Linked DNA regions of Lepisosteus oculatus. The protein of the gene in region 3 purifies or fractionates together with the protein of the main gene of each other region. This does not show direct contact. Links are inferred from orthologs where the notes say so. Each region holds a gene or a part of one and is shown on either strand. Other genes may lie near its edges.

Region 1 (7,665 bases), on a different chromosome or scaffold from region 3:
TCATCTCAATAAACATTGCAGAAAACAATATACAAATAAATGTGGCGACTTTGTCAATGATTGTAAGCGGAACTCCCTTAAATGTTCAAAGATAATCTTTCTGCTTTATATTACAGGTACCAGAGAAAATGAATACCGGGCTTTTCTACTAAGTAGCTGGAAAACCACAAAATCTCATCCCTGCAGACAACCTGCAGTGTTCAAACCTCGGATACGAACTGAGTGATAGGTTTTAACAAAAAGAAATATGACTGATCGAAACAAATCACATGCGGTATTTCGTCATTTGTCATATAGCTGAACAGTAGGTCGCAAACTGCCCCTGCATTCTGATAGTGTTTTGTGATTATTGGCTGATACCGTTTAACATAATAATTGTAAAATATCTAACTATGATTAGCATCAGACATAATGCACTCCGGACTCGAGAAAAACAACAATTCATTATTTAACCAAACCTGGAAAATTGACATTGCAAGTCCGATAAGAAATCTTTCAGTGCTGTAAACTAAGTGATTTCGAGTTACTGTTTCCGCCGGTCTCTCCTAACTACAGCCTGCGGTATGCCGCTAAATTATTGTTTGTTGCCGGAAACGAATGTTTAAAAATATATCAACAGCAAAGATACAAACATCTGATGAAGAAGAGGCTTGTCCACAGAACACTACGCTAGGCACGACTATTCCTCGGTTTCTGCAATATCTTGTTAAACGTGTATACTCTACACAGCCTTGTGTTAGAGTAACCAGGTTTTGAATGGTTATTTCTAGGTAGATGGACCATGACTCGTCCTTTTAAAACAAACATAGAGCAGATCGCAACAGAACTTAACGGTCGTTCACGTGGAGTACAATAAACATACAATATTTGTAATTCGAAATGCAGAATTAATTTGCCCTAAAACACCGTCTGGCGACAGAAGTTCTTGGTAACCACAGTATTGAAAAACTAATATGTCCCCGGGGTCCTCTTGTGGCTTTTTTTCTTCATTTTGGAAAGACTGATATTCGCAATTATTTTCGCCTTTATTTGCTTCTTCGTCTTTCGTGTCCCTTGTTAATTCCTCTACAACTTGTTTACTGTTTTCTCAGATCAATGGTGTATTACACGTTCCCTGTATGAGCCTATATTATATGGAATCTATACTTCTCTTTACACATCAACACAATACTGATGTTCACGATAAATCCGCATAGGCACATACAACAGAACAACTCAATATTTACCACTAATTGAATTATGCATATGTTCATAATGTGCATCGTGATCTATGTCTAAAAATATTGAGAATAATATACACCCAAATAAAAAGGGTTATTATTGTCCCAATATTGTCCAAAAAGGCTAATATGCAGTAAATCTTATCCACAATGGCTATTTTTTTAAATAAAATGTTTGGTAAAATATATTCACTTTTAAAATAAATTCACAATTTAAAGAAATTATAGGCGACATGTTAAAAAGTTTATTTTCAGTTATTGGACAACTTCACACGTGGTTTGTTTTCAAGCAGCCACGTATTCCTTTACAGTAAACCTGAGAATACTGATCAGATAATTACATTAATTGCTTGGAAGATTATAATTGGCGTTAAAGCACTAATAGAGTTACACTGTGTATGAGGTGTGTGTCCCATGGTAAATATTTAAATTGAGCAGCTTGTCTAGACTTGCTCCTGTTTTAAACCTTAAGATACAAAACAAAAACATTACATAAAAACAGTATAACTACTAATACCGCGCAGTTCAATCAACCGTCTTTGAGCACTTTGTTGTAAGGCGTGAGTAATTATAAAAACGCGTTGTGTGGTTTGTCTTGATATAAACTAGGCTTGGCAAGAGAGTAAATTTAAATATGGTCATATATTAAAATGATTATTTGCTACAATTTGCTGAAGGGACTTTCTATATTTGCAATAGTATACATTACTTTAAGGACGGAAAAAAAGAAAAAACATAACTGCAATTTTAAAACATTACGAAACCATAAATACAAATTGTCGCAGCTAAGATATATAATTCAAACTAATTACAGAAAATTGTTCTAAAGCTCAGAACAATGACGAACCATTATGTCTTTTTAAGACTGACAAGCACAATTACTCTAAAATACCGAACGTTGTTGAATATATAATTGATTATAATCGTGTTACTGTTTGAATAAAGATGACGGAAGCGTTTAACGCTGACAACAAAATGTTTATAAATACGCTATTTATTCAAACAGAGCCATGATTCACTGCAGGGGCACACATACTTTGTGTATGGAAATCAGAGATGTTATGTGGAGATGGAAACAGGGCTACCTGGAGACTTTGCAGCGCCTGGTTTCAGGGCCTTTGGGAAGCAGGTTCTCCTCAGCGCTGTCGGGGCAGCGCCCTCTAGTGGTAGATGCAGCGCTGGTTTGCGGCGCTCCGAAAGGCTGGCGAAGCGCTTTCCCCGAGTAAAAACACCCCTAAAACACCGCACTTGACAAATACAACAAACTAGCGCCCTGTTATTTAAACCGGAGCCTCGTTGCTGCAACATTCAATCGTTAACGTAAGAATACAGTTTTGCCCCCGGGCTAAATGTGTAGCGCAGCCCGCTTTGGGGTTGAAACCGGTCGGCAGGAAACCGCAGTGAAGTCATACAGTAACTGTACAAAACGTCGCCGTTTTAAGAAAAAATATTGTATTGTCGTCCGCGAACAAGCTAACGCTTTGTTCAAGTTCGCGTATCAGAGACAGTTCACCGTGTGACGCGTGTAACTGTATCACCAGAGTCTGAGAAGTTCCCGAAAATTACGCCTCATAACTTTTGCCGTACGTGAAGAAAAACATTCATTTCACATACAAAAAAAACAAAACAACAACAAACAACAACAACAACCCCATCATATATAACATCCAATATCCTACGTTCAAACGGGGTCAACGGAGGGGTGTCAGAATCTACGAACGACACACCTCTAAGAAAAAGCAGTTTGGTTGAAATACCACAAACCTTTCGTCCCCGTCCCCAATACCTTATTGCGGCCACTTGTTCTGAACGATTTCACAACCCCGGTACAAGGCGAATACCCCCCTCCAATTTCAAGAGAAGCGGCCGAAAGCGATGATAAAAAATTCGTCGCCAACCGGCAGACCTCTCGCGTGCGCCCTCCCCTCCCCACCCGCGAGAGCCCGGGCTTCCTCGAGCGCGCAGGCAGCGCAGCGCAGCCGGGCGGTGCGGGAGCGCGAGCTCCCCGGAAACCGACTCCCACCGTTACCTTGGCAAGCCGCGCGACCGAGCCCGGGCGCTCCGCCGCACCAAGGCCGGCGCTGGAGGTTTCGGGGCCTCTCAAGCACAGGTCTCGGCGGGGGCTGGTAACCACACTCTCTGGCTGTAAAAGCCTTCCCCCGTTAACCTAGCTAAACTTGAACGACCCTTTTGACTGTTTTCTATGTACTGGTTGTCTAAAGTAAGCGGAACTTCAAAGTCACAGTAGCCAAACAGCCTTACTCTGCGCCCACTCCAACCTGTACCCCTATGCCCGCTGTAATATCAACTGCCTTAGCACATTAAATTCATTTCCGCGCTAACACAGATTTGTGCGATGAATGTGGAGCGTCTCAACCTAAAACGTTAACTTAGGCACGTCAATACAAACATTCCAACAAGCGTCTTAATTCCAGAAATAAACTACAACCCTGCCCTACACTGGAAACAATCTTGTCTTTAATTCTGGCAAAGGAAAACAGGTTTAAATTCCCATCTTGTTATTGTCACCTAGATAGTATATCAACAAAAAACACAATGAAAGTCTTCCGCTATTCTCTAAACATCAAAACTATTGTCATTTTTTTTGCGTGAAATCGATCACAACCTTTTAAGTATATTTCTACAATTTTCTAAATAGGATGCACATTTAATGAATAACAAATTCTTCTATGTTTTATTCGCTATTAGAGAACACTAAGAAATATTTCTGAAGATCATTTTGTGAATTTCTTTGAGGAGTATTCATTCCACGCTAATTGAAAAACGAACAAATCCCAGGAACAAGTTCAGGTTTTTCAGCCAAAACACTATCGCAATTTAAGAAAATAAACACAATTATCTAAAGATTATCAGTCTAATCTTGAAACATGAGCTGTGTGAGTTGGAATTGTTTATGAAAAAAATATCCACATCCAGTATGTGATTGAGATCTGCGTCGTTTTGTATTTGCATCTCTATGTGTAGCCTTGGCATTTCTTTGCATAAAATAGTTGAAGCCACAGAATCAAATCTATTAAGTTTATTGCTCTGTTTGAACCTCCTTTAACACACATGAAGGACTTCCTACTCATTAATGCTAACAAGGACTCATGCCGACCAAACAGCTTACTTGATAACATCTCATTATTATTATTATTATTATTATTATTATTATTATTATTATTATTATTAATGACGTTTAAAACGTGGACGTTTTCGGAGTTTTAGGGTGTTCGTTTACACCATTTATAGGATTATAGGGAATTACATTCTTATAGCAACCTTGCATTTCACATGAAACTCGCCACAGTGCGTTTACTTTTACAGAACACTGGCGAAGAGTCGTATGAAGTTATTTTTCATTTGACAGAGGGGTACAATTGTTCCGATTTTCAGTGGGGAAAAGTTCAGGATTTGAAATAACGAACTATTAATGTATTTCTAAAAAAAATCGATCGTCTTACCTCGATCTCAATAGTTTATTTATACAAATTGGAAATATAACACATATCTGTCGAATTGGAAATTAATCTGCACATTAGAACTATATTTAAGCTGTTTGCCTGTAATACAAATCTAATAATTCTTCTTTATGGAGAAAAGTAGAGGAAATACCACGTGGATTTTCAGACACGTAAGAAAAACCTGAACTAATATGTGGCATTAGGCATTTCGAAAATAACGGAGAAAGAAATACTTAGGTCTAGTTTTGTTACACATTGAATGAACAACATTTTCTAAAAAAAATAAATTAACCGAGAAATGCAAATACACTATTTTCAGCACACGTATTTAACAATAAGACCATATTTATTTATTAAAAACAAACTTTTTACTATTGTTATAACAGAGGCTCATCTGTAACTAGTCGGCCCTTTATTCGTAACAACAATGAAACAGGAATTAACCAGAAGGCAGAAATGTGATGCACAAATGTATTTCTGTGTCGTCTAATTACTGATGATAATTAATTGGAGATGGAATGGGGAGTTTTGAACAGCTTGGAGTTGGGGTCAATTAAACGAACAAAGGGGAAATTCTAGGGGTTGATGTTCAAGACTGAAAAAATACATACAAAGACGCCTATTCTACCTGGTAAAAATACGGCCAGCTCTGTTATTGTAAAAAGAAAAAGAAACCTTTCTTTAACAGTTGTAAAACAGAATAGAAATACTGAAACCTGATACACAACAGACAACAGGGAATGTTGAAAAAATGAAATACTGGGTAGTCTTAAACTGACCTTAAAGTACAAATTATCTGACATCCAAATCTACCACGAGGAGTATAAAGGTCTTGTGGAATCTAGCGGTAATTTGGCGCCACCGCGTGGCCACTAATTTAACCAGCCACAATTCTGCTTTAAATTCTTAATCGGGCGAGATAAAGGCTTTATAATCTTGGCCTAACTGAACTCTTGAAATAACAAGTCAACCTTGACTTACTTGTTATCGTTATTTTTCAGCCTCTAAAAATCTCAAAACACCAGTCATTTTTTGGTTGACAAAATCCGAACTGAAAACTTCAAAACGATTAAACTGAGGGTTCCGTTTAGAAACTACAAGAGAAAATAAATATTTCAATTGGTGTATGATCACAAATCTAATATGTTACATAAACAAAACAAACCTAAACTTCTAAGTATTATTTACAAAGATTTCCTATTACATAAGTATTATTTACGAAGTAAACTTCATATTGCATGATTTTAGATTGTTGTAATTTTAATATATTATGCAAAAGTAGTGCATTTCTTAAACCTTTACCCTTGCTGTAAATGCCTACCTAAAACTTTAGTTTGCGAGAAATCATATTTCAACGCTTCCGAAAATACGATCTAACGGATTCAGTCCAAATTCTTAGATTCAATATAGAGCTTAGAGCTCACGCCCGCGTATTGTACTTCTAAGGCTTAAAATTCATTTGACATTCTTTACGGAGAATTGCTCTTAAGGCTAAAATGTTTGAAAAACACAATTTCAGCTAAAGTCCAGCAAGTCGGCGTTACAGAACTGTACTGTGTACAAGAGAATTAAAATACGAGTCCTTATAAGGAAAAAAACAAATATATACATCAAACGGTGCATTTCAGTGATATGTCAGACAATTTGCCGCAAAGCAAAATAAATTATTTAATAATTAAACAAGTCATATCCAGCAGACTCTGAGCATATTTAAATATGTGTTTCAAAGGTATGGGGACGTAACATATTGATAATTTGTGTAAAAAGGTGTCATTAAACGAAACAATCAAGTGTTACACAGTTTAAATAACAGAACCTACTTCAATATCTTGTGGGGACTCAAATCATCACAAGAGCCGACTGTGAAGCGAAAAACCATCAGACAAGCCGGAGGCGCTGCTAGTATGGGAAAAAATGTGGAATAAATACTATGCTACTATGGGAATAAATATGGACATAATACCTCTTATATTTAGAACAAACCATTCCCTGTTTTTGTTAAAATTTGTAACAACTGTTTGTCCGAGATCGTGTTGCTTCAGAGGAACAGAAACTTGATTAATTTTCCCGATTTCAATGTTGACAACTCGAGATTAGATCCACCTACCGTACAAGCTTTTTCGTTATCACGAGCTGCAGTACAAGCGTTTCATCTTTAGAAGACAAAACCGTTAATTTGCTTTTCGGTTCAACTGAGCATACTGTATACTGACTTGTCCATACGTTACGTCCCTTTTTATCAGTAGATTGGTTTTGTACATTCACACGCCAGAATATCCCAGTCAAGCAGTATTAAATATTTCAGCTGTGTTGTGTGTCCCGCCTTTTATGAAACAATCTCCCAGATGTACACACTTACTCAATTATAATTAATTGTAACTAAATAAATAAACTGACGGAATTCAGTTCAGGTTCCGAAGCGAGAAGATCAAAACGGGCTTTTAGTACCTTCAGGGGCCTTTTCAATACACGATTGAAAACAGACCCATTAGGACTGCCTAGTGTAGAGAACTCCATCGGTCTGGTTTCTAGTGCCGCTCCTAACGCACCACAGTATATTATATTGTTCTTTGACTCGGGTCATGCGACCGAAAATGTATCGAAATAAGACCTTAACTTTAAAAAAGGAAAAGTCAGCACCATAATTAAATATTTAACAATAACAACGCATATTTAATTTAAAACGACCGGCACTAACACCCCAAAGCACAAAGCAACCACAGGAATAAAGTCTCGTAGGTATTAACACATATTTCAGGCGTTTGTTTTGTTTCTTTTGTTTTTTTTCTATTTCCCCTTGTTTTCCTTGCTGCACCATGCGATCCTGATCTCAGATTAGGCAAAATCTTTTGTTTTGTTTCGAAAGGACTTTTATTACCGAGTACAAAATAAACAAACCCTAATAAGTGGCCATAACTCGTCTTGAAAAAAATGAACAAAACATTTTTGTCTGACCTTCTGCGCAAATATTTCGGGGGCAA
Region 2 (7,485 bases), on a different chromosome or scaffold from region 3:
ATATTTTTCACACTAATGGAAACGTTCAGGAGACGTTATTAGTCCCTAAAAAATGTGCAGTTGTGGCTCGACTCGTGTGTTCAGGGGTCACGTCGCCGTGTAGTTACAGGCACTGACCGGAGCTCACTTCACTCGCCTTCGGGTTTAGCGAGTTTCTGCGGGGAAGGCGACTGTGCAGTAAAATTTGAGAAGCAGCAATAAATCACCCTACCACTTTCAGGGCGATACTAATTCCAAACGACCTGTTGCTGCGCAGTTTGGGTTTTCCCCAACTTCTAACCGAGGATCTCCAGAAGCAGAATGATTTGAACTCCCTGTACCCTCAAGCATGCCTCACAGACCTTTAAAGGCTTCATCGACATTATGCGGTGACCTACAAGTAAAAAAGGCTTCGGCCATTCCAACTAGTTAGCGGAGCAGCGTTAGGAAGTGGGGAGGTATTTATCATTAAATAAGGATTCTCAAGCTCAGGGCAGCAAAGTGTGCAAAGAGACACAACAACTGCGTTTTAGATCGGTTTTAAAAATTTATTTAGATCTTCCAAAAGGAAGACACGTTCTTAAGAGCATTCAACATATCTTTGGCATCACATAATAAAAAGACACCTCGAATATAAAATGCAGTTCAATAAACTGACTTTACAAAACATTTCAATATGAACTTTCCCTCATATATAATATATACAAATATAGTGCATACTCTTCACTTGAATACACTTTCATACAAAAAATAGGCATCTAAACAAGAAGAAACCAGTTCTTTTGCTATTACGTGTAAAGAACAAAAAAAGTCTTTTCTTTTTTTCGCACAGCGCTTTCTACCATGGTCTCCACACCGAGTCAGCCGTGACCGAAGGCGCGCCCGGGGACACAGCCGGTACCGGCGTGCCGACGTTATTGGCATACACGGGGATAACTGGTCCGTTAGGGGCAAAGGCTGCGTTAGGGATCAAAAAGGCGAACTGTCCATCCGTAGCCGGTACAAGCTGGAAGCCGCCGTACACCTTCGTCGCCTCCGCCGGTAAGCTGCCCGCATGGCCACCCTTGCAAGGCGGGCCGTTCAGGGGCGAGGCGCCGGGGAGCGGGACCAGGGGCTGGCCGAACGCCGGGTGCGGTGGGCCGGCGGGGATCTGCGGCTGCGTGGGGTAGTTCATGGCGTTGATCTGCGACATGCAGCTGGCGAGGTGGCCCAGGAGCCGTGTCCTGACCTCGGTGTTAACCCCTTCGCAGGTGGACAGGAACCGCGTCACCTCGTTCATGCACTCGCTGAACCCTGCGCGGTACTTTCCGAGGACGGTGGGGTCAGTGTTCAAAGCAGCTACAGGAAGAAGGCACAGCCAGCATTAGTCGGGCTCGTCCACCAAGTCAAGAGGCGCGTCGCCAAACCGCGAAACGAGTAGCCGGTGAAGTGTCACAAGTGTCAGAACACCGCCTCAGCCGGAGCATCGGAGATGTTGGCGGAGTTTGAACCCCCCCCCACAAAAAAACACATTTTAATTCTTATCCACCCTCTCTCTCTGCCTCCCGGAACTACCACAAGATGTGTCTATAAATAATTCCAGACCGTGGGAACAGAGCTATGAGCCAAGTCGGTAAAACTGCTGCCGAATACCAGCTAAACCGCAGACGGAAGTCTGGAAGACATCAGCTATGAAATAATTCCAAGGATTAAACGCCGACATAAGGCAACTCACCCGTCATCTGCGCTCGCTGCAGGTTTCGAAGGTGTTTCACCGTCATTTCAAGAATGTCAGCCTTTTCCAGTTTCGAGTGTCTGGAGCTCTGCAAATCAAAAAAGATCAGAATCATTCATTGCTGCTGACCTCCGGCCGAACAGCTTAATAACACATCTCCGCCGCCTGTTCTCGGACGGAACCCGGCACACGGGTTGACTGCGCCGACAGCACTACAGTATGTCCATGCAGGAGAGGGCTGCTGGCTTGTAGCGGTTACGAAAGGGTGAGGAGGACGGAATCCTTACATCTTTCTTGAGTGCGTCCAAGATGAGAGTTTTCAGCTGGCCCAGGCTTTCGTTGATCCTCGCTCTCCTCCTTTTCTCCATAATCGGTTTCGAGGACTAAAAAAAAAAAGGGAGAAAAACGACACGTTGAACCCGGAGGACCCGCACCGTCAGAAGTGACAAGATTGCTGTGCTCGCTAGATACTCGGGTATCGGGGCGGTATGCGTGATAGTTACCTTCCTGTGCTCGGAAGCAGTCTTGGGTTTATCTGGCGTCGTGTTCATGCTCGCCGGGGTGGCCGCCACTGGCGATGAGGATGTTTTCTCCATCATGTCGGCTGGCATCTTCGCTTGGCAAATATCCCACAAACCTTTGGGCCGCTGTCAGAACCTGGTGAATTCCCCCTCCTGTAGTTGCCAGATGTGCTGGGCTTTTTTTTTTGTTATTAAAAAAAACGTTGCTTCTTCGAGTTAAGTTTTATACGTCTTCTTTTAAATACAAAATCCCCCAGTTTTGTTTGTTTTTTTTTCCAGACAGAATCCTCGTCTTGGGTTGGAAAGTACACAAAAAAAATGCTTGTCATACACCTTTATCAATGCGCGGTACCGTTTATCAGAGCGGCAGTGAGGCGCTATAGCTGGCTCTGAGCTTACTGTCAGACTGTCAACGTTGTGAGCGTCCAGCCCAACGTCGTGCAGGTCTTATTTATATCTGAGACTGCACGCGAACGGCTCGTGTGAAACTTCCCAAACTTTCTTTCCCACAGTAACTTTCTACCAATCAGCGTGAGGGACACGCGGCCCGAGGGGAGGACGGCTCGTGGACAGCGCCCCGCCATTGGCTGCGCGGCGCGGGGACGGGCGGCCAATGGCGCGCGGCTGGGCTCAGGCCAACACGGGCCCTGCGCAGTCAATCACCCCGGTTCACAAATTAACGCTTTCGGCTCTAGGGCCCTGCGAGGCGGTCGCATGCTGCACACTGTCGAAGGGTGATTTTTTTATGGCTTAAACTTGGCATGGCGTAATGTCCCCTGAAAAAAAAAAACCTGACGCTAATTATCGCAAAACGGCAATAAAATGCCCTAAAGGGAACGGAATATCCGCTTTAATTAAAGAGGCCTGTCTTATGCGTTGGCATTGTTGGTTTTCGTTTATAGATGGTTCTTAGAGCACTACTTTGTTTTAAAGAGTATAAGCCTTCTGTACTTAAATTGTATTTATGCACAGATCGCAGTTCAATAAAATGAACACGCCGCGCATTTAATAATAGTAGTAATCGTTGCAGAATGAGTAATAAACTCTAGTGCTCTTTGTTTTAATTATCGCATAGTTGTCCTGTAATGTATTTGCATCGGCGCTTATATTTTTTGAATAAAGAATTGTTCCGAATTGCTTCAATTTTAGATACGGTGCTTGCAGACGATATTAGGTTTTGGACTGCTAAAAGTAGCAGTTTTATGCCAATTGAATATTTAAAAAACGACTTTTGCATTCGACTTCGCTTGTAAGGCGAATGGTGATACTTCCCAAATGAAAATATTAACATTTAGATAAATGTGTGGTTTGTAACATAAAAACAATATTTGCTATAAAAATGCTGCTTTTTATCTTTCTGCTTTAGGGCAGTTGGTAACATTTTAAAAAGTTATAAAGTTTTTTTTTTGAAGTGCAATGGTTCTTCTTTTCAAGAGAAAAAAAAACTTCTTATTTTTATTTTTCTCACGATCTTTGCCTAAAATATGTATAAAAAAGAGACTAAATAAAAATTCGGGAAGCGGGATAAAGGGGTCGGGGGGAGATTCATTTGAATGAATTTCGGGACCAAACAAATTCAACTTTTAAAACGGAAGAAAAAACGAAAATCAAACAACTGCTTGATTTCGACGGCCCCGGTGCCTACGGTATGCATCTCTCTCTCTCTCCAGTAGTGTTGATCCGCGCCGGCGCTGTGTCTTTAAAGCGCAGCGCAGCGCAAGCCTGGCAGTTTGACATCTGTCGGCATGCGAGCGCTATTGTGAATGTGGAGCACGTGCCAGGATGTTTTACTGCGCGCTGTGGTTGAGGTTTGGCTGCCGGGCTGGGGGTGGCGGTGGAGGTTTATATTAGAGGGAAGGTAAATAGCAGCTGCTGTGTTAAAGCCTGGGAAAACCACGCCCACTGCGATCTGGATCGGGCTCATTGGAATGCGAGCCAGTCCGGAGTTATTTCTCCGCGCGCCGGAGCGCCGAGGGGTGAGGCCCGCAGTACCTCCTGCGGGGGAGCGGGGGCGCTCGGTAGTCATTTTGGTCTTCTGTAGCGGTCTAATTTTGACATCTGTGGTGCATCAAATAAAGCTTTTATACGTGGTTAATACAACGCCGACAGTGGCACCAATAAAGGGCATGGTTAGGGCTTAGAACTGTAAATTAAACTTCGCAGCCTTTCATATTTTAATGTTGTTCACGGACATTTCTGGAAGTGATTTTTAACAATTCCCCGTTTTTAATTCCAGAAAGCCCAGAAGTGCGACCTCACTGAAATGTTACCAAAATAAGTAAAAAAAAATAAGGAACTGAAACGTCTGTTTTTTTAGGAAAAGGGTAAATTATTTTGCTTTCGATTGTGGTCGATTTCCAAATGGTAAGAGACCTTAATTATTTTATTATGGGTTTGATTTTACTTAATCTAAAGGCTGCATAAAGTCATATATTTAAACCTGCAAGGGAGAGCATGTCTTTCTTCAAAGTACCGCATGCATTTTGGGGATAAACTAAGAATAAAGTTTACATGTAGTATATAGAGTAATATATGTAATATATATGCTTATCCTTTAATAAACAAAGCTATAGGCTGCTCTTATTTTTAATTATATATGTGCATTTCAATAGAGTCCTGATACCCTTAAATTCTATTCTGATGACGTGAAGAAATCCAAGTAGTGGATTCTTTTCTCTGGGCTGCAATTAATGAAGTTGATGTGTTGTACAGTCTGCAGATATCGCACGCTGTGTGTGCTTTCGGGGCAAATGCGGCTCATTTAGTTATTACCTCCCTGCAAACTGTGATATCAACTGTCATTTCCTCTGTGGAAGGTGTGTTCTGTGTGCTTTGTGGACTGAGCGGCACCGTTTACCTGCTTGTGTACGTATGGTGTGTGTGTGGGGGGGGTGGGGTGGTGTTTGCCCCTCCGCCCCGTGCTACCTTAACAGCGCTCCGACACACACAGTTGCTGCGCGCTCTCCAGCTGCTGTGGACCCCGCGACGCGTGGCGGGCGAGCGACCGGGGGAAGGCGCCTGCTCTGCCGGCTTGCAGCCCGCAGCTGCGGGAGGCTGTACTGGCTGCTGCGCGGAGATGGCGGATTTGATTGGAGCCTGGAGCGCGCGCGCTGTCCCCCCCCCTTCAGCGATCTCCTCCAGCCCTTTGAGTGGCTTCGGATCATTCTCCACAGACTTTTCCCTCCAAAAAACAACAACAACAACAACAACAAAAAGACGAGCGACCCAAAGTTTTGGGTCGTGCTTTTACTTTTCTTTCTGTGTCGCTTCTATCGTGTCGTCACTCCCCCCCCCGGCGTACTTTGCCGTAACAATTTATGAAAGCGAAAGCATTTTAATATAACCGAACGAGTTTATACGTTATGGTTAGCAACACAGAGCGGCTTAATTAAAGTTTTTCAGGGGTCATTCGTGTGTTGAAAAGGATAGGAGGTGAAGCATAAACAACATTACATTAGTTTCCAGTTTCGTGCAGCGTACTGTATAAACATAATGAACTAGCCACATTCATTGGCCGGGAGTCACCGAAGTTTAGAGTTGAATCGCCAGACTTTTAAAAATCCCAAGATATATGAACGATCCCTTCGGCCGCTGGAGTTGTTTCATGGTCCGTATCTAGAATACAGATCCCAGGATAATTTGCACGAGGGGGAGAGGCTAAAGGGCTTAAAAGTTATGCGGAGCAAGTTTATTTTCCTCATTTAATCCTTTTACCAAGATCATTTTTCCCCCCAACTGTTTTCGTGTAATAAACGTTGTACCCTGCATCACGGGTTTAATACTGACCACATAATGGACAACACGCTGCAGAGGTTCTGACAATTCGAGGAAAAGCACATGACGCACAGTCTCAGCCCTGTCATGTTTACCGAGTAATCCACCTACTGGTTATGGCTATAGTGGAAGTGGTATTAGCAGTACATGTAATAGTAAATCGTTTTTTTTAATCGTCGAGGATTTAGGCTAAATAACTATTAAACCCCATTAACACTGATGTTGATTTCAATAAACATTTCTTTATAAAATCGCAAAACGGTATACGTCATCACTGTTATTACAGTAGAAAATGTTTTGATTTCAAGCAATTATTCTTTTAAGTCATTGTAACTTCTCAGATATTGCTGAGAAGCATATTGAACTTAGAAGCATATTGAACAAATTCAGCACTGCAGCACAAATCCCGGGAGGTTTATAATTTAAGGCTGTGTGTCTATGCCCATCAACATGTATCGTTGTTCTCTGGTGCATATTGGAAGATAGCTCTGTGTGAAAAACGATAAACGGGCAGAATGGAGAAAAAACTAGATATCTACTGTCCTGGGTAGTGGATGTAGCTTGGATGCTTTTTTTCTGGGCTGAAACACTATTTCACTGAAAATAAATATATAAAAATGAACATATATTTTGCCTCGGGTATTCAAAGCTTGTTTTCTTCTCCACTTGACTAACTTTCTCACGCTCACTTTCCCAGAGTGGAGTGGAGATTGAGTCACCGAAGCCCTCTTTCTGCCTTTCCGCTGCCTCTCTGCACACAGCTTGGTACCCCGTCTGCCCTGGGTTCAGACCAATACCATAAGCGCTACCCGATGCTTTTTTGTTGTTGTTGCTTAGAACGTTTTAGAAGTACCATTCAGTACAAGTCACACTTTCCGAAAACCTTCAGAGGATAATCAAAAGGTTTAAAAGTAAGCTACGATTTGAAAAATGTGCATGATGCAAAAGGTCTCCATTAACTACAAAGAGAGCTAAATTCATACAAACAGAAAGGAGGTGGAAGGAGGCATCCAAGCACACTGTTATCCATATCTTAAATCCAGTCCCCTGCTTACAACAGTTCTGGGCAGCCTGAAACCAAAAATGAGTTTTGGACAGATGTTAGGCCAGTTCAGAAGTGCAACATAGAAGTAAACGAAGGAATGAGTGGTAACAAATATAAGAAAAAGAACTTAAGCTTCCTTGGGATTTTTGTACTTGATCTTATTCAACCATACGACACGAAAAGAATAAAAAATGGCTGAATTGAAAACAGTTGCTTGCTCTATTTATACTGACTGTTTCTTGTTCTTGGCACTGGAGGAAAGGGAAGGGAATTAAACTCGGAGGGACAGGAGCGTCTTTAATTCCTGGGCAGCCATCGGCACAAGCCCTCACATTCCATCAGTCTGCAGGAATCCCATGTTTGGCAGCTGCTGCTTAATTGCAGCTATCACATGAATCTTGCCTTACAGCCCCACTAAGACCTCTTTCCCATGGTCATATCTTTATTGAGGT
Region 3 (7,319 bases):
GTACTGTGAACACATGTTAATCTTGTCAGTTTCAGAGCACACCTCACACATTTTTTCAAACATCTGTTTATGTCGTAGATTTCCACATGCACAAAAGTCAACAACCATGTAACATCACAGATTACTTTCAAACGTGTTGATTTTAAAAGGAGAAATTGGCAATCTGCACAAAAAGCCTGCGTAATAGTAACTCACCATTACATAGTGCCTCTGCATTTCTGTCTTTTCACTTGCAAGTTTTTCACATTCCAGTTTGAGACTAAAAACAAAGGTCAAATTACATGTTCAATTAAAATGTATAATAGGAAACAGTTAACAAAAATCGCATTAAGAACTGACATTACTGTAACAAGCCTGCCTTAATGAAAAAGTGCTGAATTTTGCATATTTAGTATCAACATGGGCCTAAGAAAGTTCTGTACTGAACTGCAAATTATCAAGCAATTATGCAATTAGCTTCAATTTAAAAAAAAAGTGGCATATTGCATTTACTATAAAGAGCAATTCAGATCCCAAGTCATCCTTGTTAACTTTCCAGTAATTTCACATCAAACATGCACTGTTGGTGACTGTGGCTCCCATAATGACAAGGTGTTTTTAATGCACTATAGGTAAACCATTTTAAAGTAAATTATATACATGTGGACCTCAAATTCAATCACTGACACATTTACATCAGGATCTCTGTTCAGTTCATTTTCTTTCTAGAACAAAATGTTAAAGTAGTGTATAATAAGATTGTCTCAGAAATACTGTGGCAGCATTCCACCTTCACCTAAGACATCCAGTCTTACAAATTGAGTTCAGGGTAAATGAAAATTGTTTTCTCTGAGTTCTTTTAAGCCAAAGGTAATGTCATCTATATTCAATATGACTCCATGACCACTCATACAGGTAAGTGTTTAAAAAAAATAAGATGGCAAACAAAGTAATGCTCCATTCTGGCTGTTACAGTGATTACCATTTCAATATTACTGAAAGGGAAAACATTTTGGTTCACTAATGCAGAACTAAATCACTTGACATATATAAAAAAACAAGGGCGATTATATTTGAAGTGTTGCTGCAATTTTGAGTAAATAAAATGCTTAACTGCTTACATATTGTTTCGATAAACTCCATTTTTAAGTGGTTAGGCTGACGTACCAGACTGCACACATAAGCTCCATAAAGTATATGGAGCTGCCATTACACTCCTAAGCCAAATTCCTCACAATACCATTTCAAAACACACGATAGTTAACTGTTCATGGACACCAAGAAAACAAGCCGGGATCAGAGTTAATAAAGGATGAAAAACATCGGCCTTAGAACTTTTGAAATGCAATGTAAATGTCTGTAGAGTGTATGCACACCCTAAACCACAAGGACATTTAGACAAGTCCTGTCCACAGACGGAAGGAAAGTGGTTATTTAACCTGACTACAAACGCCACCCTCTGGTTCTTCAACCTTACCACACTTTACCTACCGCAGAATGGACACAAAACAGTCAAATGTAAATAACTCGTCCGGAATTGAGATATATTCGCGCTGGCTACTGTTATGTAAATAGGAAATTGCACTAACCTGTGATATTGGGCTTGTAGAAACTGAAACTCTTCTTTTATCCGATCCAAAGACTCGGGAATTGTGAATTTAAAGGGCTGCCCAGGAGCCTGGTGCGGCGTCTGTCAAAGTAGAAATGAAATAAGGACAGCAGAATCACGGGTTTTATGTTGCCGATTTTAGTTCACAATTTTGAAAGGAAGTTTTATACGCACACGACACTACAAAAACTGAAACAAATCACAAGCGGGGCAGACAAGTCCTAGGCTGTCGTGTAGGAAAAAAGCTATAAAACGCTGCAAAGATATTGCTGTTACCAATTAAGTAAGGCAAGAACGTATCATATGCAACCCATTTAAAAAAAAAAGACTGCGCTGTGCATTTATGACTTAATCAAATGAGAAACAAAAGGAAAGCTGGAAAACCACGAAACGAATAAACTCTGGCATCAAAACGACTGAAGAGTTAGCGCATGAGCGACTGGATAGCATTAACCCGTATTATAACAACGTAGCATTCAGTGCACTGTAAAACGTTCACTTTTTGCATACAAACGAACAAATTAAAACTCGACGAATTCAGCCAGGAAAGCAAAAGCCGCGAAGTTTCCTTTTTCCCCCATTTCCTTTGTACTGTTACACTCACAGGGTGTCTGCTTTGAGGAAACATTGCTCCTTCAGCCAAGCGCCTCCTCCGGGAATCCTCAATTCTCGGTTATCTTTTAACCCCTTTCAGCAGAAATTGAGAAGCACAAGCAGGAAACTCTGAATTAGGATAAATTCATCCTGGATCCCCGAAGAAATGGGGTCGTAAAGCAAACCAAACCTCGGTGCCCCGTCCTTTTATTTCACTCCACCGTCTCCTTCGCAGAACAAAACAAGCGCTTCCTAGTCGTCGCAGGTCTGCAATTAACTTGTGTTGTACAGTGGACCTTCGTTGATTTTCGAGTTAGTCCAATAGAGAAAGCGAAAATCCCCCCAAAAATGAGAAAATCATTTGCTCACAAACAGCGAAATAAAGTCCACCCTGGAACTGTTTTTTCTTTCCCCCAATGAAACAACGTAGCGCTGGTTCCCCGAAGCGATATCCAGAAAGATCAAAAACAAAGCGAACAGGCGACACATACAAAAAGACCAAACCGAAACGTTTGTCGCAAAAGTCTCAAAAATAATGATTATTTTAAAAAAAAATAACACCTCCCTCCAAATGGCTGATGAAGTATCCCCCGCGTGTGCTGTTCCAGGATAAAATGAAAATGTTTTTTTTAGCAAAACATGGAAATGCACTTGATATTAAAAAAAACAACTAAAAAGTACTCGATAATACAACACCTAAACTATAGCTCAATAATAAAGCCGAATATTAAAACATAAAAAGTATCAATAAAAATGGAAATCTTAATAATAAGAATGACAATACAGCACCCAACCCCACTCTTCCCCACTGCTTACATTAACACGCGGTTTCACACTCCCTGAACTAACCAGATCTAGACCTGCCTCTGAAAACTCACGGCAGCCAATCAAGGTTAGATGTACACGTGGGGTCATGACGTTTCCTCTCTAACTCGCCAATAGAATCAATACGTGAGAGTTCATGCTTGTCGATTATGCTGAGATACGGTAAAGGCAACCAATGGCAGAGGAGAGAGTGCTAAATGTAAGAATGAAGGATGAGGTGGTCGGTCTGCGGGAGAGTGACAATCCTCAAATGTCAGTCAAAGTAACGTGGGACGAGTGCGAAATCCTTAAAGAGACAGAATCGGATTTTTTTTCTCCTTGTACAAACAATGCGATTTCGATTTCGTTTACACCTTGTTGATTTTGCATTCAAGGAAAAAAAAAGACCTAAAATGTTCTAGAAAATAATTAAGAACATCAGGTTTGAAAGGTAACTTAGCATATGTGTGAAGCTGGAAAGGTAACTTCTAAAGACAAAATCAACCTTGAGAAATAAAGCTTTATTAAAGATGCCTACCTATCATCTGCACACCTACAAATTTTCATTATTTTTTTTACTGTTTTAAGCGTCTGGTACACAGCATTACAGAAAATGGGCATCCCACTTCAATAAATATGTTCTTTAAAAGCTGATTGGATGTGATAATTCTGAGTCTAAAATCCCATGTGTTAGAAATGGAGTTACTGTATTTTTGTTGACTTTGCCCATAGCTTAACAGTGAATAATCTATTAATTGATCACACATATCAGACCTATAATTTTTGTATTCTATGTAATCTCTATTTCAGATTTTTAACTCTGTTCTGTCCAACCATCCAGACATTTTACTATATCTTAAAAAAAAAACAGATCATGGTAATCTACAACCTTAAAAGTTTTTATTTTTTACTGCACATGCATATAAAACAAGCATACAAAAATAGATTTTTTGTCACCCGTAAGGCATTATTTTTTAGGTTATCCTGACCTAAAAGTTGCTTTAGAACTAAAAGAGTTTTGTATTCAGAGGAAGATTTTTCACAAAACTGCATGTCTGACCATCTATATATTTAATTAAATTTGCTACAAAATCAACTGTAAAAATGTATAATTTTTCAAATAACACACCATAAGCATAACTGCAGTTAATGAAAAGAAATGTACAAAAATAATTATGTTTCCTCATTATTCAGCTTCAAATACATTTTTAAGTGCTGCTTCTTACATATAGATCAGTACTTGAACAAAGTCATACTTTGCAGTGAAACGAAAATAAAATAAGTAGAAAATGACAACATAGTAGGTAGATGGAGTAGAGGAACAGCTGACCTGTAAAACTGACATGATGTAGTGGGGTCAGAGATCATGCCAGATGCTCTTTGTGACTGTAGATCACACTGATGGAAGACAGCAGGTTATTGCTTTCACATTAGAATTCAAAGTATATGGACAGATTTCTAACTCACCTTGACAACACTGCAGTAAGACTTATGCCCTCACAAGCTGTTTTGTAATTTAAAGAATATCTCATATTAACTTCTTAACATTGCATCAACTGCACTGCTAACCAGAAACTTGTTATTTATTCCTCTAGTTAATGTAATGAATTTGTTGACTGAAACATTGGAAGTTATTGATTGCCACCTATATATTTTGTGGCTGAGGATTTTAACCTAAACTTTGTTTTAAAGATTCAGCACAGCTCTGCAAGAACAACAATGACTCAGTACAGATAATGAAGAGCCGTTTAACCATGTGGTGTTGTAATTTGTTTAAACTCCTTTACATATTGGATTCATCAAGTGATCAGTAATAAAACCTGCTAATTTCGTCCTGTGGAATAGAATTATATCAGTGGAAATGATAAAGAAATACTATTGTCCTGTTGGTCCTGAAGAATTACAAAAAGTCTCAGTTACATATGGCAACGTTAATCATTGCTAGACTGATCATCTACTCATCTTGAAGCTAAACAATAATGACTGCTGCTATTCAAAAAGAGCATAAGGAATAAGGATGGGTCAGAGGAGGCCATTCAAAGATCTTACCTATTTGATATTTAGTAACTAATTTATCTGATAATCTCATCTAGCTGTCTTTTTAAAAAAGGAGGGATATTAGCCTCAACAACATGGCTGGGTAGCTTGTTCCATTTTCCCACAGCCCTTTGTATAAAGAAGAGTCTCCTAATATTTGTTTTAAATGCATTTCTTTATATTTTTAATTGACTAGAAGGATTTGGTTGTGATATCATTTCATCATTTGCAAACAAGCTTCTGACAGAGTTCACGTAATTCTTACAGAATGCATTACTCATTGGCTTCAAATGCTGTATCCCCATTTAAATGGTCAATGATTGACAGTGCCATTATGTCTAACACATACTGTATATGCAAAATGTTGGACATAGACATATACAGTATATTGAATACAGACTACACCCATGTTCTTATATTCAATCTGGGAATTACCTGGCAAATAAGCAACATTAATTTGGCCATGGTTAATAATGACATATGCATTTACCAATCTTGTCCCACAGGTGTTGTATTGTTGCTCCAATGCAGTTGGTCAGCTCACGATATTGATCATTTTGTACACTATCATGTTGAAAGAGTGCAGTATTATCTTGACTCTGATATCGCTGTTACAGTGGCAGAACACATGTGTCATGAAATTGTGAATAAGAAGCTGTGCAGTCAGTTTACAATGGACATCAAGAAGCTGACTCCTAAATTCTGGATTAATGGCTCCCCACACCATTTGTGATTTTTCCTCTGCAAATCGGACACAGATTTAGGATTAACCCTTTTCAGACATCACTCGCCAATCCACTTAAGACTGTCAATTTGCTTCTAACTCTACACCTTTCATTACTGAAAACAACATTTTTTGCATCCTTACTCAAAATATCGCAAATGCAAGTGATCTCTGTTTTCCCCTTTATTTTTTTTTTCACAGCAGCAAAACTGTTTCAGAATAAATAATTCAATAGTATAATGCTGACATCAACACTTCAAACAGAAACTGCACAGGAAGACATTGACATTGACTTCCATTTTGGGCGTGGGGCTGGATAGAGAAAGCATCACCTGAGCATGGACAGATGGTGTGGGAAGATATTAATGCAGAGTTTAGTAGTCAGCTTCTCGATGTCCATTGTAACCTGACTATACAACTTCATGTTTACAATTTCATGACACTTGCGTTCTACCACAGCAATATCAGTGTCAAAATAATACTGCACTCTTTCATCATAAAATGTGCAACATGATCAATATCATGAACTGACCAACTGCACTGCAGCCACAATCCAACACCTGTGGGACAGGACAGGCAGTGGTAGATGCGTATGTCATCATTAACCATGGTCAAATTAATGCTGCTTATCTGGCAGTTGCTTCCCAGATTAATAATAAGATGATGGGTGTAGTCTGTACTCAATATCTCTGCCTATGTCCAAATTTATGCATACTGTATATGTGTTAGACATAATGACCCTTATGTCAACCACTGACCATTTAAATGGGGATAAAGCATTTGAATGCAATAAGTGATGCATTCCACATGAATTGTTTGAAATCTGTCAGAAGCTTGCTTGCAAATGTTGCAGATTTTGAGTCTGGACAGTACTGTTGTAGAGACACTACAATATGTTACAGCTCTGAACTGCCCGATGACTGCAATCAGGTTTATGAGTCTTTTGACACCCAATTGTGTTAGAAAGCATATTTGGCCCTCTTTGGAAGCAGTTTCTCAGGTGGTCTCACTTGAGTCATTACACCTGGTTGACCAAGCCTGGGCTGGTCACAGGTGCTTTCTTTCAGTTTGTAGCACTGCTGATGTCTAGTGATGATTGATTGATGGACTCTGAATGCCCCAGTGACTTCATGTAACAACATTGCATGTCTAAAATAAAAACACATTGCTCACCACATGCTGTCACACTGTGTACAAAAGGGAACATGAATGCTACCATTTTCTATAAGCATATTACAATGACATACTCTCACACATAGACAGGTTAATTGGATAGTGTGGCACTCTAAGTGCTGAAAATATGTGTTGCATTTGTAAAGTAACTCTCTTAATGTACAGTATGTGTCTGTTATCATAATCATCTCCATCATTATCAACTGCAGCTATTATTTATTCACTGCTTGATGAAGACCGTGCCAGGACCCTCCAATGTTCTTCTGTCTTCAGTTATCATTAAACAATCTGTTCATGCAAATTTATTGATTTCTCATGTGCATCACTATCACAGCCTTTATTGATTCATAAAGGTACCCAATTCGCTAGAATTCATAACTGTTACTTGAAAGTATGAAT

Evidence for each region.
Region 1: the proteins of transducin-like enhancer protein 1 (region 3) and foxg1a purify together in Homo sapiens (affinity purification with western blotting; 3 studies listed by BioGRID and IntAct, with this or other methods). This does not show direct contact. The link is inferred for Lepisosteus oculatus from reciprocal best matches to the Homo sapiens genes TLE1 and FOXG1.
Region 2: the proteins of transducin-like enhancer protein 1 (region 3) and her6 purify together in Homo sapiens (affinity purification with western blotting; 4 studies listed by BioGRID and IntAct, with this or other methods). This does not show direct contact. The link is inferred for Lepisosteus oculatus from reciprocal best matches to the Homo sapiens genes TLE1 and HES1.

What each region holds. Positions count from the first base shown.
Region 1 is NC_090703.1:5,959,458-5,967,122, forward strand, and holds the start of foxg1a (forkhead box protein G1), read right to left. Parts: upstream 3,096-7,665; 5' UTR 3,007-3,095; exon of another isoform or gene 2,985-3,006; intron 2,849-2,984; exon of another isoform or gene 2,306-2,848; intron 41-2,305; exon of another isoform or gene 1-40. UniProt on the Homo sapiens protein: Transcription repression factor which plays an important role in the establishment of the regional subdivision of the developing brain and in the development of the telencephalon.
Region 2 is NC_090708.1:9,265,794-9,273,278, forward strand, and holds her6 (hairy-related 6), read right to left. Parts: upstream 2,675-7,485; 5' UTR 2,305-2,674; coding exon 2,197-2,304; intron 2,077-2,196; coding exon 1,981-2,076; intron 1,782-1,980; coding exon 1,694-1,781; intron 1,318-1,693; coding exon 818-1,317; 3' UTR 514-817; downstream 1-513. UniProt on the Homo sapiens protein: Transcriptional repressor of genes that require a bHLH protein for their transcription. May act as a negative regulator of myogenesis by inhibiting the functions of MYOD1 and ASH1.
Region 3 is NC_090698.1:60,295,452-60,302,770, forward strand, and holds the start of transducin-like enhancer protein 1, read right to left. Parts: upstream 3,008-7,319; 5' UTR 2,373-3,007; exon of another isoform or gene 2,276-2,372; 5' UTR 2,217-2,275; coding exon 2,193-2,216; intron 1,670-2,192; coding exon 1,569-1,669; intron 260-1,568; coding exon 196-259; intron 4-195; coding exon 1-3. UniProt on the Homo sapiens protein: Transcriptional corepressor that binds to a number of transcription factors. Inhibits NF-kappa-B-regulated gene expression. Inhibits the transcriptional activation mediated by FOXA2, and by CTNNB1 and TCF family members in Wnt signaling.